Arabidopsis thaliana: one gene and its partners. The protein of the gene in region 2 interacts with the protein of the main gene of each other region in a pairwise test. Each region holds a gene or a part of one and is shown on either strand. Other genes may lie near its edges.

Region 1 (4,136 bases), on a different chromosome or scaffold from region 2:
GTAACATCATCTTCTTTGACCTCTCGTATTGACAAGGGAGTATATTCAAGTTTATCATTGTAATTTTGGGTATTTGAATGACTACAAGTGTAAATATAACTATATTTTTGGGTATATACTTGTATTTCAGTTTTTTTGGGATACCCATTCGGTTCTTGATTCGGATGGCTGGGATTTGATATTGGATCTTCGAATGTAACAGTTTAGGACCCATTCGAGTATTCATGTCGGTTCTGGTTCAATTCGGTTCCTTCGAATTTAGGTCGGTTATTTGTGTCCGACTCTTTATATGGGAGTTTAGCCTATAAATGGGCTTATAACACCCCATGGTTGTTTTACACTTGATTTTGCTTCTCTTTCTGTATTCACTCTATCTCGATGTATGAGTTTTGCAACAAACTATCGAGTCTTCTTAGGCTTGTTAAGTAAACTTTTTGCATAGTAAAAGCTTTGCGACCACTCTAGTTACCGAAATCTAAACATGCCATTATGCCAACGAGAAAGAAACCAACAAAATAAAAAAAGATAAGTCACAAATTCAGTCTGTTAAAACCTTAAGAAACTACTAGGCTCAAATCAAACCCAAGACATTAAAGGTCGAATCATTCTTTTGTAGATAGTAAAAGCCTAAAAGGTCATCACATCACCACTTTTATTCTTCATTTTTTTCTTATCATCATCACTTAGCCATCATAATCTTGACAAACTCCTCGTAGTTTATCTGACCATCTCCATCAACATCTGCTTCACGAATCATCTCCTCGACCTCTTCATCAGTCAGTTTCTCACCTAGATTCGTCATCACATGGCGAAGCTCTGCAGCGGATATGAAACCGTTCTGGTCTTTGTCGAACACCCTGAAAGCTTCTTTCAGCTCTTCCTCCGAGTCTGTGTCCTTCATCTTTTTAGCCATTAGGTTTAAGAACTCAGGGAAGTCAATGGTTCCGTTTCCATCAGCGTCAACCTCGTTGATCATGTCTTGTAGCTCAGCTTCTGTTGGGTTCTGCCCTAGTGACCGCATCACTGTTCCCAGCTCCTTTGTGGTGATGCAACCTGTTCAATCAGTAAAAGATAACATGAATAAAAACCAGGTCTTGTGATAAATAAGTCTCCAATAAAACTTTTTTAAGCTACAAGAGCCAACAAACAGCTAAACACATGACCATCAATGGATGCCAGAAAAAAAAAGCACTAGACTCTGGAATCTTTCATTATGGAAAACTCATGATCTGTTCTAAAACATACATGACTATACATGACTGTTTGCTTCTCATACGAAACTAAATATTATCAGAGAACTTAAACCTGTAGCTACATACCACCTTACAAGTAGATTCCCATAACAAAGTCAGATTGATATACATACGAAACATGAATGAAACCAGGTCTTTTGTTTAAACGTTTTTGAGCAAAAAAAAGCCACTAATCAACCAAAAACATGACCATTAAATGAATCTCATAAAAACACTAGAATCTGAATATCTTTGGCTATGGAAAAAGCATGACAGGTGCTAAAACTAAACAGTATCTTTGAACTGAAATCTATAGCAATATACCTACTTAAACTACAGAAGAATGACACAAAAAGACGATTCAGAACAAGAATCAGGAACATGATATTCTGCACAAAGCTAGTAACATTTCAATATAAGTCACCTTCAAAGAAACATCAAAATCACAAATCCATGCTTAGAGATGGAACAAAACTACATCAAAAGAGACAATCAAACGATTCAATCAACAACGAAGTAACAATTCACCACACGAATCACCTGAATCAGAGATCGAATCTAGCAAAACCAGAGATTAGACCAAATCCAAAGCGTATCAAAGAATCAGACTCAAATATTTTCTGAATCTGAAGCTGATCGCAGACGAAATCGGAAAAAATGAGATCCGTTATGGTTTTAACAACGATCAAGAGAGATTTAAAAGAAGAAGATGAGATTGAGACTAACCATCTCCATCTTTGTCGAAGAGGCTAAAAGCTTCCTTAAACTCAGAGATCTGTTCATCAGTTAGCTGATCCGCCATAGCTTCTTCTTCTCGTTTCTTTGGTTTTTCGTTTCAGAGAAGAAATGATTTTTTTTTTTCCTGAAGTCTCCGAAGCTGTGAAAATATCTTAGCGACCGACAAAAACAATTATACGACAATGAGGAAAAAGTTAAAACGAAATTAAATGTTTACGGAAGATAATAATAATAATTTACTAGTTGGGTTTTTAGCTAATCATGTGATTAGTGGATGTGGGACTTGAGAGGAAGCCCAAAGGGCCCTTGGATACACATTAAGGCTTAAAAATGTTTTAATAAAACAATTTACATATTTAAAAAGTAATGATTTTTCAATTTTGAATGATAAATAAGACAATCCTCAATAATACAATAGTACTTAAGTTTTAAGCTGTAAGTTTTCCAAAATTACCATTGTTTTATTATTCAGATCATCATTTTATTTGACATCCCTGAAAAGCAAATATTTACTTTTGAGTTTAAAATAAAATTGTGTTTACTTAAAAACAGTTTTATCCTAAAGAGTAAAGACCTAATCTTATAGTAAAAGTTGACATTACTTACTGTATAATAAAAAAAGGATTGAACTAGTAGTTTCTAAAGATAGGAACAAAACAACTGTTCAATTTTCTTCAGATGAAGATTAAAATCTGTTATTATTTTAAATCTCGGGGACTACAAAATTTACCTCCAAATCTATGATTTACTAAAAACAAAATTAGTTAAGCCAACATTTTAACTAACCTAATACTATCATTTGAACACTTATAGGTATGTTAACTGATTTCAAAATTATCTATATACATCTTTTGTAATGGCATGTTTTCCATCAATGTGTGTGAACATTGAAAACATAAACTGTTGAATATCTAAGGTCATCTCCATTGGTAAGAAACCTTCAAAGTTTCTCAAAAAAAAAAATTACTAATATTTTATTATGACTTAATTTTGTAATTAATATATTCTTTTCTTTTTTTCAGTTGTCTAATTACTTCAAAATTTCTCTGCACAGAAACGTTTCTGTAATTATGTTATTCTCTCTCCTCCTTTATGAATTGTTTATATTATATTAGTGAAAAGCAACTCTCAAAATTGTAACCGATGGAGATGATCTAACCTATTTACCAAAAACAATTCAGACAAAATTTATTTTCGGTTTAGTCGTTTTTTTTCGTTTTCTTAATTTCAAAATAATTTACTGGGAAAAGAAAAAATCATCATTACGCTCATGTGAAAAAAGATCGTTCATTGTATGGGTTTTGGAAGTTAGAAAAGTAAGCAAGCAACTTATACCCTATTGGCCATTATATCTACCGAGAAACAACAAGCTCTTTAATTTATAAATTCGTGTAGTTGCCTTAAACAAACCCCAAGCTTTCATTACACACCACAACCAAAATCGTAGTTTGAAGATTCTGATATGTCAAAGAAGCATCTCAAGCCGTTGGAGACATGTTTTGAAGATGAAGAAGATGATGTTATTTATCTTCCTCCAGGTCTTGTGACCGGTGCAACTTCCAAGAAGAATGAGGAGTTTTGTGGCGGCTCCGGCAAGGTACAACCGTCTGAGATGAAGCGTCGGAGTGAAGGGACCTCAACGGACATGACTTCGAAGAGAGCCAAGAAGGTTTCAGCAGAAGATGAGAAGAAAGTTGGAGAATGGACAAAAAACCCATATTTTCAAAGACTGTGGAGTGAGGAAGATGAGATTGTTATGCTACAAGGAATTATTAAATTTGAAGATGTTACAGGGAAAAGTCCGTTTGAGGATAGACACGGGTTTATAGAATTCGTCAAGAACTCCATTAGCTTCGAGGCTAGTGTGCAACAATACATTGGCAAGATTAGCCAATTGAAGAGGAAATATACGAGGAAAAGGAAGAACGGTTTTTCTGAAGGTCATGAACAGAAATGTTTCAAACTGGCCATGTCTATTTGGGGAACTAAAGAAACGTCTAAGAAGACGGACTTGTGCTCTTCACCTAAAGGTAAAAAAGTTAAAGAAGAAGATGGAGATGTGACAAACTCTGATTGGTTTGAGAATTCGTTTCTACTTCCATCAATTGAGAGTCTTGGTGTGGATTCGGTTAAACGTAAATGGAATGTTGTGCCTATGGAGTTTAA
Region 2 (5,727 bases):
GCACGACTTCGTATAATCATCTTGATTCGAATTTCTATCAACTGTTCAATCCAGTTTTTTTTTTTTTTCTTTCAACCGAATTACTATGTACATAGCAATTTGAATTTGAAGCCATTTTGGTTGTGTTGAGATTACAGGAGCTACACAAGAGACGTATGCAAATAAAAGCTAATGCAAAGATTCATAAGAAGAAACCTAAAGGTATATATATATTTAGCTCTCTTTTTTTGAGAATTCTCAGTTCATATTCACTAGACTAAAAGCTCTACACTGAAATGCAGCGAGCAAGAATTCTCAGAGTAAAGCGATCGAAGATGGCGAAAGCTCTAAAAAGTTGAAAGAACCAACTTCTTCTTCTTCTTCTACCTTAGAAGAACAGAATCATAACAAGACAGTAGTCACAGTACCGAAGAAGCCACAAAAACTGTTTTGGGGGTGAGCTTATTTCGCTAATTTTAGAATTCTTTTTCATATTGAGAAAACCGTGCTAATGCCATGCTTTTTTTGTTTTGAAACAGGCTAGATACCAGGGAGAGGTGGGAAAGGAAAGCCAACATGTAGTGGTCATGAAAAGATTTCTCGTTATTGATAACGTCGTCCATTGTACAATTTAAGAGTAGCAGATTAGAGAAAGACTCACAAACTAAATGATGAAACAAACTGGTTTTTGTTCTGCTGATTTCTTTTGTTTAATTTCAAGCTCCAGATGTAAGAGCAAGCTCTATTTCCTCCAGTGATCGACCTTTAGTCTCGACGACGTTTCCTGCAATGTAGAGGACCGCAAGGACGCAGACTCCAGCAAAACCCAAGTAGACACTGCTGATTCCGAATTTAGTCACAACGCTTAAGAAGTATAGTCCGATCACAAAGTTTGATATCTGTTAGGGCAAAAGAGAAACAAAACATTAGAAACAGAGAGAAGAAACTCTGTTCTGAACCCATAAAACCTATAGATATATGTATATACCCAGTGCATGCCGAGAGAAAGAGCGACGGCTTTTGCTCTGATTCGGGATGCAAATATCTCTGGAAGAAGAAGAGCCGGTACCGGGCCAGCACCAAGTGAGAATGACAGGACATATCTGATTTAAACAACCGAGCATAAGAGTCAGTCAAGTCCTATACAGAGAGACTATAAGGAAGTGTTAAGAGGAGATTGACTTACAGAACAGTTCCAACAACGGCAAGGGTTCCAGAATAGGCAGCAAGAGCCTTCCATGTGAAGGACAAGGAGAGTAACAGCATTGACAAAGCCTTTTCAATACAAAACCATAAAATCCAAGTTAGTCCTGTTGTGGTAATACTAATGAGGGTTGAGATTTTCGAATATGGCTAAGAATTTTAATAAAAACATGTACCATTCCACCAAAGCTTGTCAGTAAAAGACTTTTCCTTCCCATTTTATCCATCAACGATGAAGCAACAGCAGTGCCTGCGACCAGATTTTTATCGTGTTATTTTTTTGGTTATTTTTGGAATTTAATGAGAACATAACGGGGAAACGAACCAAAGACATTTGATGCTCCAACGAGAGCACTGGCTGCAACATCTGATTGGATTCCCGCACTACGGAATACCGATGTGGAGTAATACACAACTGCGTTTATCCCGGCTAACTGTTGAAACAAGAAGAGAGCCGCACCTACGCTTACAACTACAACAAGAACAGACAAGAAACTATGTAAATTGATCAATCCGATATGACCTTTGAAAGGAATCCGTCAGCTTTTATTACAAACTAAACAATGTATCTCCACCAAGTCTTGCTATACCTTTCCAGTAGCGGCTGCTGAATAGATCAAACCATCCTGCCTCCGGCTCAGAAGAACCTTGGCCAGAGGCTGATAAGTCGCGAACTAGTTCAACCACTCTTTCTTTACCATACAAAGTTTTGATCGCCTTTTCAGCTTCAGAGACTTTTCCTTGCTGCAAAATTGATTTCCTTGACTTGTCAAAAATTGATCTCATTTTAAGTGTTGAGATCTGTTCCTTGAGAGTACCTGAACGAGCCACCTTGGGCTTTCTGGAGAAAAAGCCATTCCTATGGCCAATAGAACGGAAGGGATAACTGCAACACCAAACATCGTCCTCCACCTAGAAGACCACGATATCAAAACTTATCACAGTATGCAACCCAAAATAAAAGATGATGAATAAAAAAGGGATGTTACATACCATAGAGGGTTTGCTGCAAGGGGTAATCCAGCTATCAAGGCTGCAAGTATTCCTATACAGATGAACAACTGGTTCACAGATCCGAGTGCTCCACGGATTTCAGTTGGTGATATCTGACAACCATCATCAAACGCTTCAGAGACATAACATATAAACAAATCTAACATCTTATGCTAAAAGTGCAAAAATAATGAAAATCAGTATTTAAACAACCTCAGATATGTAAAGTGGTACAATCGCTGATGAGATTCCAATTCCAATTCCAGCGAGCAGACGTCCCACAATCATAGTCTGCACACTCTGAGCTGTTGCACTAATCAATAAAAAAAGAACCAATGCGTTAAGAAATCAATTAACGTCTCACCAATAGGTATGGCTTAGTGCTTGAAAATTTACCATAAGAAAGCTCCAATGGCAAGCGGGATAGCATCCAATTGAAAAGTTCTTGTTCGTCCAAATTTGTCAGCTAATGCACCTCCAGTGAATGAACCTACCGTAGCACCAGCAAGCAGAGAACTAACAATCCATCCTGCTCAACACCAATCATAGAGAATACCAATTATGAGTTTGGCTACTAATCAAAACACGAATCATTTTACCGTTGACAGGAGGAGTAAAGAAGTGGATCATCATATACTTGCCTTGCAAAACAGTATTTTCGGCGATCCCAAGATCCTTAGCAAGATATTCAAGAGCACCATTAACCACCCTGATTCAGTCCAATAGAACATCATCATCCATGATCACACCAAGATAAAAACAGTGTAGTATTTAGTCATACCCGAGATGATAACCAAAGAGTATAGCACCAAGACAAGCAACACCAACAAAAGGCAAAACTGTTCCAGAGCTTTTCCCTTCAGATCTCAGAGGTATAGCTTCTTCTTCATCTCCATCTACATTTCATTCCTCAAACCATCAGATGATTAGTCCAAATCCCAAACTATACATTAGATTCTTCAAATTGTATTTAAGAACTTGTAAGCAATCACAGAATCTAATGATAGACAAAGATAGAAGAGCATTAGAAGAGACGAACCAGATGAGGCTTGAGCTCTGACCGATCGAGCTTTGACAGAAGAGAAACTCATAACGCTCTGGATCCCGTTATCAGCACGAGCAAGCGTCGCTCCCATGGCTTCAGAACCAGAACAGTAGAGTGGCCCGGTGGTGGCTAAGCTCTTATAACCAGCGAAGCGAATTCCGGTAGAAGTCGTCGATCTGTCAGAAGAGAAGGTCCGTCTCTGAAACGCAAACGCAGCGTTTCCTTTAACCGCATACGTTGACGACTGCATTTTGTCTGACTTTTTATAACCGTAATTGCAAGGAAACGAGAAATATTAGGCAAGGAAGGAAAAAAAAGGATCGCATTTATACCAAACAGAACTCAAAAAGAGAGAAGTAAGGAACGATGAAGACGCAACATCACGAAATTGGGAAATATGTTGCATTGATGCGAACGAGAGAGTAAAAACGCTCTTCTCGATCGCGGCTGATTAACAAAAATCGTGATATCCAAAGCAAAACTTCAGATTTGAAAATTACCAGAGAAACTTCGGAGACTCCGCGATTTGAGAGAGAGGATAGTGAGGGCTTAAACCAGATAGATTGTGATTGCTGAGAAGAACTCACTGTGGAGCTTATTGTCGTTTAAAAAAAAAAATTAAAACGCACCAAAAAATAAATAATGCAATTTTGTTTCCTTATTAGTTTTGGATTTTTGTGTAATAATTCATATTTATCCAAAACCATACGGAAAATAGAGTATTTTCATTTCTTATTTTAAAGAAATCATGAAATTTAATGCATGTGATGCAACTTTCAATTTTGGATTGGTAATTTTGTAATATTTGCTAGGAAATTTGAATAAATCAACCAGTATCAACTAAATCGAACTAAGTGGCGGGACTAATTAGGAAATTTTTTTGAGTTTATAAATTGAGAAAATTATTTACAATTATTATTCGACATAAATTAGTCGATAAAAGGGTAAGAAAAAAAGAAGTAAAAGAGTTACGTAAGAGCCGCAGGATTGGCGATTTGGCAACGTTGGATTTTCTGGATTAGATTTTGGATGACGTATATAGCCGCACGTGTTATTCAATAGTACTCACGTGCCGCCATTGAGCATAGTAACGGTGACGTATAAAAATCATAGTAACTTGGGCCACTATTATTTAACCCATCATTTTTGTGGGCTAATATTAGTAAGCCCATTAATACAAAACGGGACCAATTTCTAACATCTTCGTCTCAGTATTTCATCGTTCTACTTCTATCTCGTTCCAACGTCTTCGCAAAAGAAAATTCCGAAATTGTTTCGAAAAATCCTGAAGAAGAAGAGGTAAGCTATTTTCCTTCTCACTTATCCTTCTTCTACTGAAAATTTATAACATAATATAAACCACAAATACATTTTTGTGTAATCCTTGTAGCTCATTGCTAATCTCTGATTCTCCAGAAATTTTGCTGAGTCCTCTGTTCGATTACACTTCAATTATTTTTTATCTGCGCTGTATCTCTGTTAATGGGTTTCATTAAGTTTTGATTCTCAGTTGTTATATGATTTCGAATTTCATTATATCCTGAAAAGCTTTTATCTTTATGTATATTCCAAGTATTGAATCTCAAAGTTTCTAGTCATTTCAATTTCAATAGGTCTTTGAATCAACAACAGTTCCATGTTGTGCCCAACGTATACACCAAGTGTTTACCATTTTCAAACGCAAAAGCCAGTTTTCCGGAAACAGAGGTTTCGGGTTTGTTCATCTACTTCTGGTGGTGAGGATGATAGATTCAAAGTAGAGTACACTCCTTGGCTTATCGTTGGGTTGGGCAATCCAGGAAACAAGTATCATGGAACAAGACACAATGTAATGATACACAATCTTTTTCTTTTACTTAATTGCTGGATTTGATCTTGGCAATGCTACAACTTTGTGTTGTTTTCAGGTTGGTTTCGAGATGATCGATGTGTTGGCTAGAAAAGAAGGGGTGTTGATGAACACTATACAGTCCAAAGCTCTAATCGGAATAGGTTCTACTTCTCTTGCTTTGGTTCTTTGGTTTGAAGAATAATAAAACTGATGACTTTTTGGTTCTATGTATGAATCAGTACAGGTGCTATTGAAGATGTACCTATCTTGTTGGCTAAACCTCAGACTTATATGAACTTCAGCGGCGAATCGGTTTGTATTTTCTGTTCATAACTTTGCAAAGATCAGCTGCGTGATCAAATAATCATCATACCTGAAACTGTTCTGTTGTCGTTTTAAAGGTTGGATCTCTAGCTTCACACTATCGAGTACCATTGCGCCACATTTTAATGGTAAAGTCACTGACTTAAGCATCCCTTGAATCCAGAACTATGTTCCATATGAACACTTTTGTTTCTCTCTACTAGATTTACGATGAGATGGCTTTACCAAATGGGGTTTTGAGACTTCAACCGAAAGGAGGTCAAGGCTATCACAACGGGTATGAATATACCTCTTGAACATCTAAATGTGTTCTATGATATATTAACTGATGTCACCTTTTATATCTGTTACA
Region 3 (4,055 bases), on a different chromosome or scaffold from region 2:
CATGTGTCGAATAGCTCAAATCTGAATTTGTCAATATTAAAGGCAACTAATCTCACTGAATCTTAAAACATATATAAAGATAATATCTACGAAATAGATAGTCTTTGGTGCCAAGAACAAGGTTTTTTTTTTGTTACTGCGAAACACACATGGACCTATTACAGAAAAATAATGGTTTGAATATCATGGGCAAAGGAGACAGCTTATCTCTTCTTCTCTGTTTTTTTTCTTCTCATTATGTCCAGACTGTCCCATTTCATAAATTATGCACACAATTGTAGTAGATGGCAAGCCTCAATCACATTTGTTTCGCATTATTGTGACTTGTGAGACTAATAATTAAGCTTCTATAATATATATATATATATATATATATATATATTCAACAAGTACTATCACATGTTTTTTTATAGATTATATATTGCTGAATATCTATCTGAATCTGACAATGAGATTTGAGAAGATTGTACAACCACTACATGTGTCGCTTAACCAAAATATAATTTGGTCAACCAATTAAGACCCGATTTATATAGTATATGAGAATTAGTATAAGCGATTTATACATCAAAACGTGTTTTGCACAACTTCCGCTGAAGCTGTTTAATTAGCATGTTCCTCATATATAGTTCAATTTTCCACAGCTCAAATGCCGCCAGCATATAACCCTTACGTCAAATTTCCTCATATTTTATTGTGTGTCATAAGACTTGCGTATATCCAATTATCCATACATGACACGATCGATACTGAAGAATATAATTTGAATATTAATCACGAGATAACTCACTCATTAAAATTTTAAAAAGTTTACAAGATTACGAGATACTCACTTATTGGCATTAAGAAAGTGTGAATCATTAATCAACTTACGTGTAGATTCCAGTACTTTCGCGCCAGGGTCGATTCACATTTGTTTACATTAGAGTGATCAGTTTTTAATCTACTACACACGAATTTTCCATCGAAGGATCAAAAAATTCTAGAGTATGATTATTTTAAAAAAGAAAAGATCACGTTTTACACGACGAGAGGACTAGCAATAATTTGGATCGAGGACAGCTGTGTTGAGCCGTATCATTTGCAAATCGCAATCTATTTATTTATTTGATTTGATTTGGTTATACTTAGACTTCACTCATAAGATCATCCCATCATGTTCCTAATCTTAAATGGTATTTCTATTTCGCACATGTCACAACTTAGACAGTTGACTAAATCATAACTTTATATTTAGGTTTTAAGTATTAAAAATATATCAAATTATATTATAAGTTTTGTAATCTCTTTTTGTTAGTTTAGCCTACCAAAAAAAAAAGAAATCTCTTTTTGTTAGTTCTTCTTGTCTTTTCGTAATCAACTACTATATAACCTATATATTTATTTATATAAAGACATTGTTAACTTCGTCATCAAAACCATTTATTTATTTGTCCATTTATTTGCTACCTTAGTTTATTTTTAGTACTATATGAAATATCATACATTTTATTTTATCTTAAATTAAATACGGTACAAGTTAAATTCCTCATTAAAACCATTGTACGTTGTTTTTAGTCCTGTTGTAATATCATTTATTTCATTGCAAGTTTGCAACCTTACAAAAAGTAAAAATATGAAAAGGTTATTTTGTGTTAATTGGAAATTATTACATAGTATGTAGGATATGAAAATAGGTTAGGAGAAAAGATGCTCCATAGAACTCATCAATACACACAACTAATATATGACCCTAATTTTAAATGTCCTCAAAACGAAAAATCTCGACAGAAATAGGCTAATTGCGTCATATTACAGTTTCGTCTTCGGGGGCATTTATGTCAAACACCATCCCCAGCTACATAATTACACCTCCTAAGTAAATAACTCCGCCTTGAGGAAAAAAAACTAAAACGGCTCTAAATTGAAAACAAAAGAAGAGAGAGAGAGAGAGAGACGAAGAAACAGAGAGATTCTCTCGAAAATGGCCACCATTAGAGTACCAAACGAAGTTCCTTCTCCAGCTCAGGATTCTGAAACTCTCAAACAAGCTATTCGCGGTACGTTACATCCATAGCCGCAAGCATTTGTTGTGTGATTCGATGCATTAAGACATAAATCTCTGAATGAAAGTTTTCTCATTCTTGTAGGATGGGGAACAGATGAGAAGGCGATTATACGAGTTTTAGGGCAAAGAGACCAGAGCCAGAGAAGGAAGATTAGAGAAAGTTTTAGAGAGATTTATGGCAAAGATCTTATCGATGTTCTATCCTCCGAACTGTCTGGTGATTTCATGGTAATTATTTCTCTAACATTTCTCAATCACGACTTGAGATTTTTTCTAAAAAGATGTGATTTGATTGAATTGCAGAAAGCTGTGGTTTCGTGGACGTATGATCCAGCAGAGAGAGACGCAAGGCTTGTGAACAAGATTTTGAACAAGGAGAAGAAGAAGAAAAGCTTAGAGAATTTGAAGGTTATAGTAGAGATCTCTTGCACGACTTCCCCAAACCATTTGATTGCTGTGAGGAAAGCTTATTGTTCACTCTTTGACTCTTCTCTTGAAGAACACATTGCTTCTTCTCTGCCTTTTCCTCTTGCAAAGGTCAGTCCTTTCTTCAAGATTAGATAAGACATTTTTTTGGTTTTGTTTGCCTTATGAGAAGCTCAAAATGTTGATTGTATGAAATTGCAGTTACTGGTGACATTGGCAAGTACATTCAGATATGACAAAGATAGGACTGATGCAGAAGTAGCTACTATTGAGGCGGCTATGCTACGTGAAGCCATAGAGAAGAAACAATTAGATCATGACCATGTCCTGTACATATTAGGAACGCGTAGTATCTATCAGCTCAGAGAAACTTTTGTTGCTTACAAGAAGAATTATGGGGTCACAATTGATAAGGTTCAGATTCTCATGGTTTGGTTTGGTGACTTTGGTCTCATGTGTTTGGTTTTCTTTTCTTGGATTATAACATGTTGTGTTGTATGGACAGGATGTTGATGGATGTCCAGGAGATGCTGATCTGAGAAGTCTATTGAAGGTGGCAATCTTTTGTATTGATACTCCTGAGAAACACTTTGCAAAGGTACTACACTAAACATTTGAGCAAGACTAGAGTCAAAAAGTATTTTGAAGGTGTTTTGTTTGTTCCTTAAGTTTTTGTGTTTTAATTTGGCAGGTGGTAAGAGATTCGATTGAGGGTTTTGGAACAGATGAGGATTCGTTGACGAGGGCGATTGTGACGCGTGCAGAGATCGATTTGATGAAAGTAAGAGGAGAGTATTTCAACATGTATAATACAAGCATGGACAATGCTATTACTGGTGATATTTCTGGAGACTACAAGGACTTCATTATCACCTTACTTGGATCCAAAATCTGATCGTTCTTTCGTTTCTTTGTCAGTTGTTATATTCTTGGCTTTGCTTGTGACTTGTATAATCAATCAATACATTGTATTCCAACTCCAGTTTGAATTGTTTAAAAAATAATCAAATTTCTCTTGATTCTTGCATTTTTGAATCAAAGCAAATCTATGTTTAATTTTGTTTTCAAAATTCGTTAAAAAAAAAAAAAAGACACGAGTAAAATACGGCTCACACAGATCATCATCACCTCTGCTTTGCTTTATTCTTGTATTTGAAGTGAAACGGCTAAGCGAATGTAAAAGACTGGTATACCCTTTTGTGTAACGACTATCCTCTCTGACTGGCTCAAGCTTGTTTTGGAGGATTTAAGACAGACCTATGTGTGGAGTGAATCCCAGCTCTGTCTCGACTTCCTTTCAAGTTACTTAACATTACTACTTTCATGGATAATATTGTCTCATATTACTTTGAAATCAGATACCAAAGAAGAAGGATAAACAAGCTTGAATACTCAACTAGAAGTTACAAAAAGTCGGTGAGGAAGGTCAGACAATGCTATTTTTTTCCTCATGTCATGTATCACTTACCAGAATTTACTCAAATGCAGTAAAATTATCTTACAGTAGCAAAAAAAATCCATGTTTCAAACATCAACTCACTTATCACCCTCCCGAAAGGATAACTTTGAAATTCCCAGTTTG

Evidence for each region.
Region 1: the proteins of PGLCT (region 2) and CAM4 interact in a protein complementation assay, tested with the Arabidopsis thaliana proteins (one large-scale study listed by BioGRID).
Region 3: the proteins of PGLCT (region 2) and ANNAT3 interact in a protein complementation assay, tested with the Arabidopsis thaliana proteins (one large-scale study listed by BioGRID).

What each region holds. Positions count from the first base shown.
Region 1 is NC_003070.9:24,773,752-24,777,887, forward strand, and holds CAM4 (calmodulin 4), read right to left. Parts: upstream 2,234-4,136; 5' UTR 2,035-2,233; coding exon 1,959-2,034; exon of another isoform or gene 1,791-1,958; coding exon 1,761-1,790; exon of another isoform or gene 1,054-1,760; coding exon 680-1,053; 3' UTR 509-679; downstream 1-508. Other genes in the region: AT1G66420 (DNA-binding storekeeper protein-related transcriptional regulator), read left to right, coding at 3,433-4,136.
Region 2 is NC_003076.8:5,270,647-5,276,373, reverse strand, and holds PGLCT (plastidic GLC translocator), read right to left. Parts: upstream 3,899-5,727; 5' UTR 3,721-3,898; exon of another isoform or gene 3,480-3,720; 5' UTR 3,471-3,479; coding exon 3,215-3,470; intron 3,072-3,214; coding exon 2,957-3,071; intron 2,885-2,956; coding exon 2,817-2,884; intron 2,705-2,816; coding exon 2,572-2,704; intron 2,489-2,571; coding exon 2,389-2,488; intron 2,289-2,388; coding exon 2,176-2,288; intron 2,095-2,175; coding exon 2,001-2,094; intron 1,927-2,000; coding exon 1,773-1,926; intron 1,655-1,772; coding exon 1,508-1,654; intron 1,433-1,507; coding exon 1,359-1,432; intron 1,255-1,358; coding exon 1,166-1,254; intron 1,083-1,165; coding exon 968-1,082; intron 879-967; coding exon 696-878; 3' UTR 562-695; downstream 1-561. Other genes in the region: AT5G16160 (uncharacterized protein), read left to right, coding at 138-201, 282-435, 519-561; AT5G16140 (Peptidyl-tRNA hydrolase family protein), read left to right, coding at 4,857-5,048, 5,128-5,212, 5,296-5,363, 5,453-5,503, 5,579-5,652. UniProt on the Arabidopsis thaliana protein: May be involved in the efflux of glucose towards the cytosol.
Region 3 is NC_003071.7:16,199,123-16,203,177, forward strand, and holds ANNAT3 (annexin 3), read left to right. Parts: upstream 1-1,821; 5' UTR 1,822-1,963; coding exon 1,964-2,039; intron 2,040-2,129; coding exon 2,130-2,275; intron 2,276-2,350; coding exon 2,351-2,584; intron 2,585-2,674; coding exon 2,675-2,887; intron 2,888-2,978; coding exon 2,979-3,071; intron 3,072-3,164; coding exon 3,165-3,368; 3' UTR 3,369-3,547; downstream 3,548-4,055.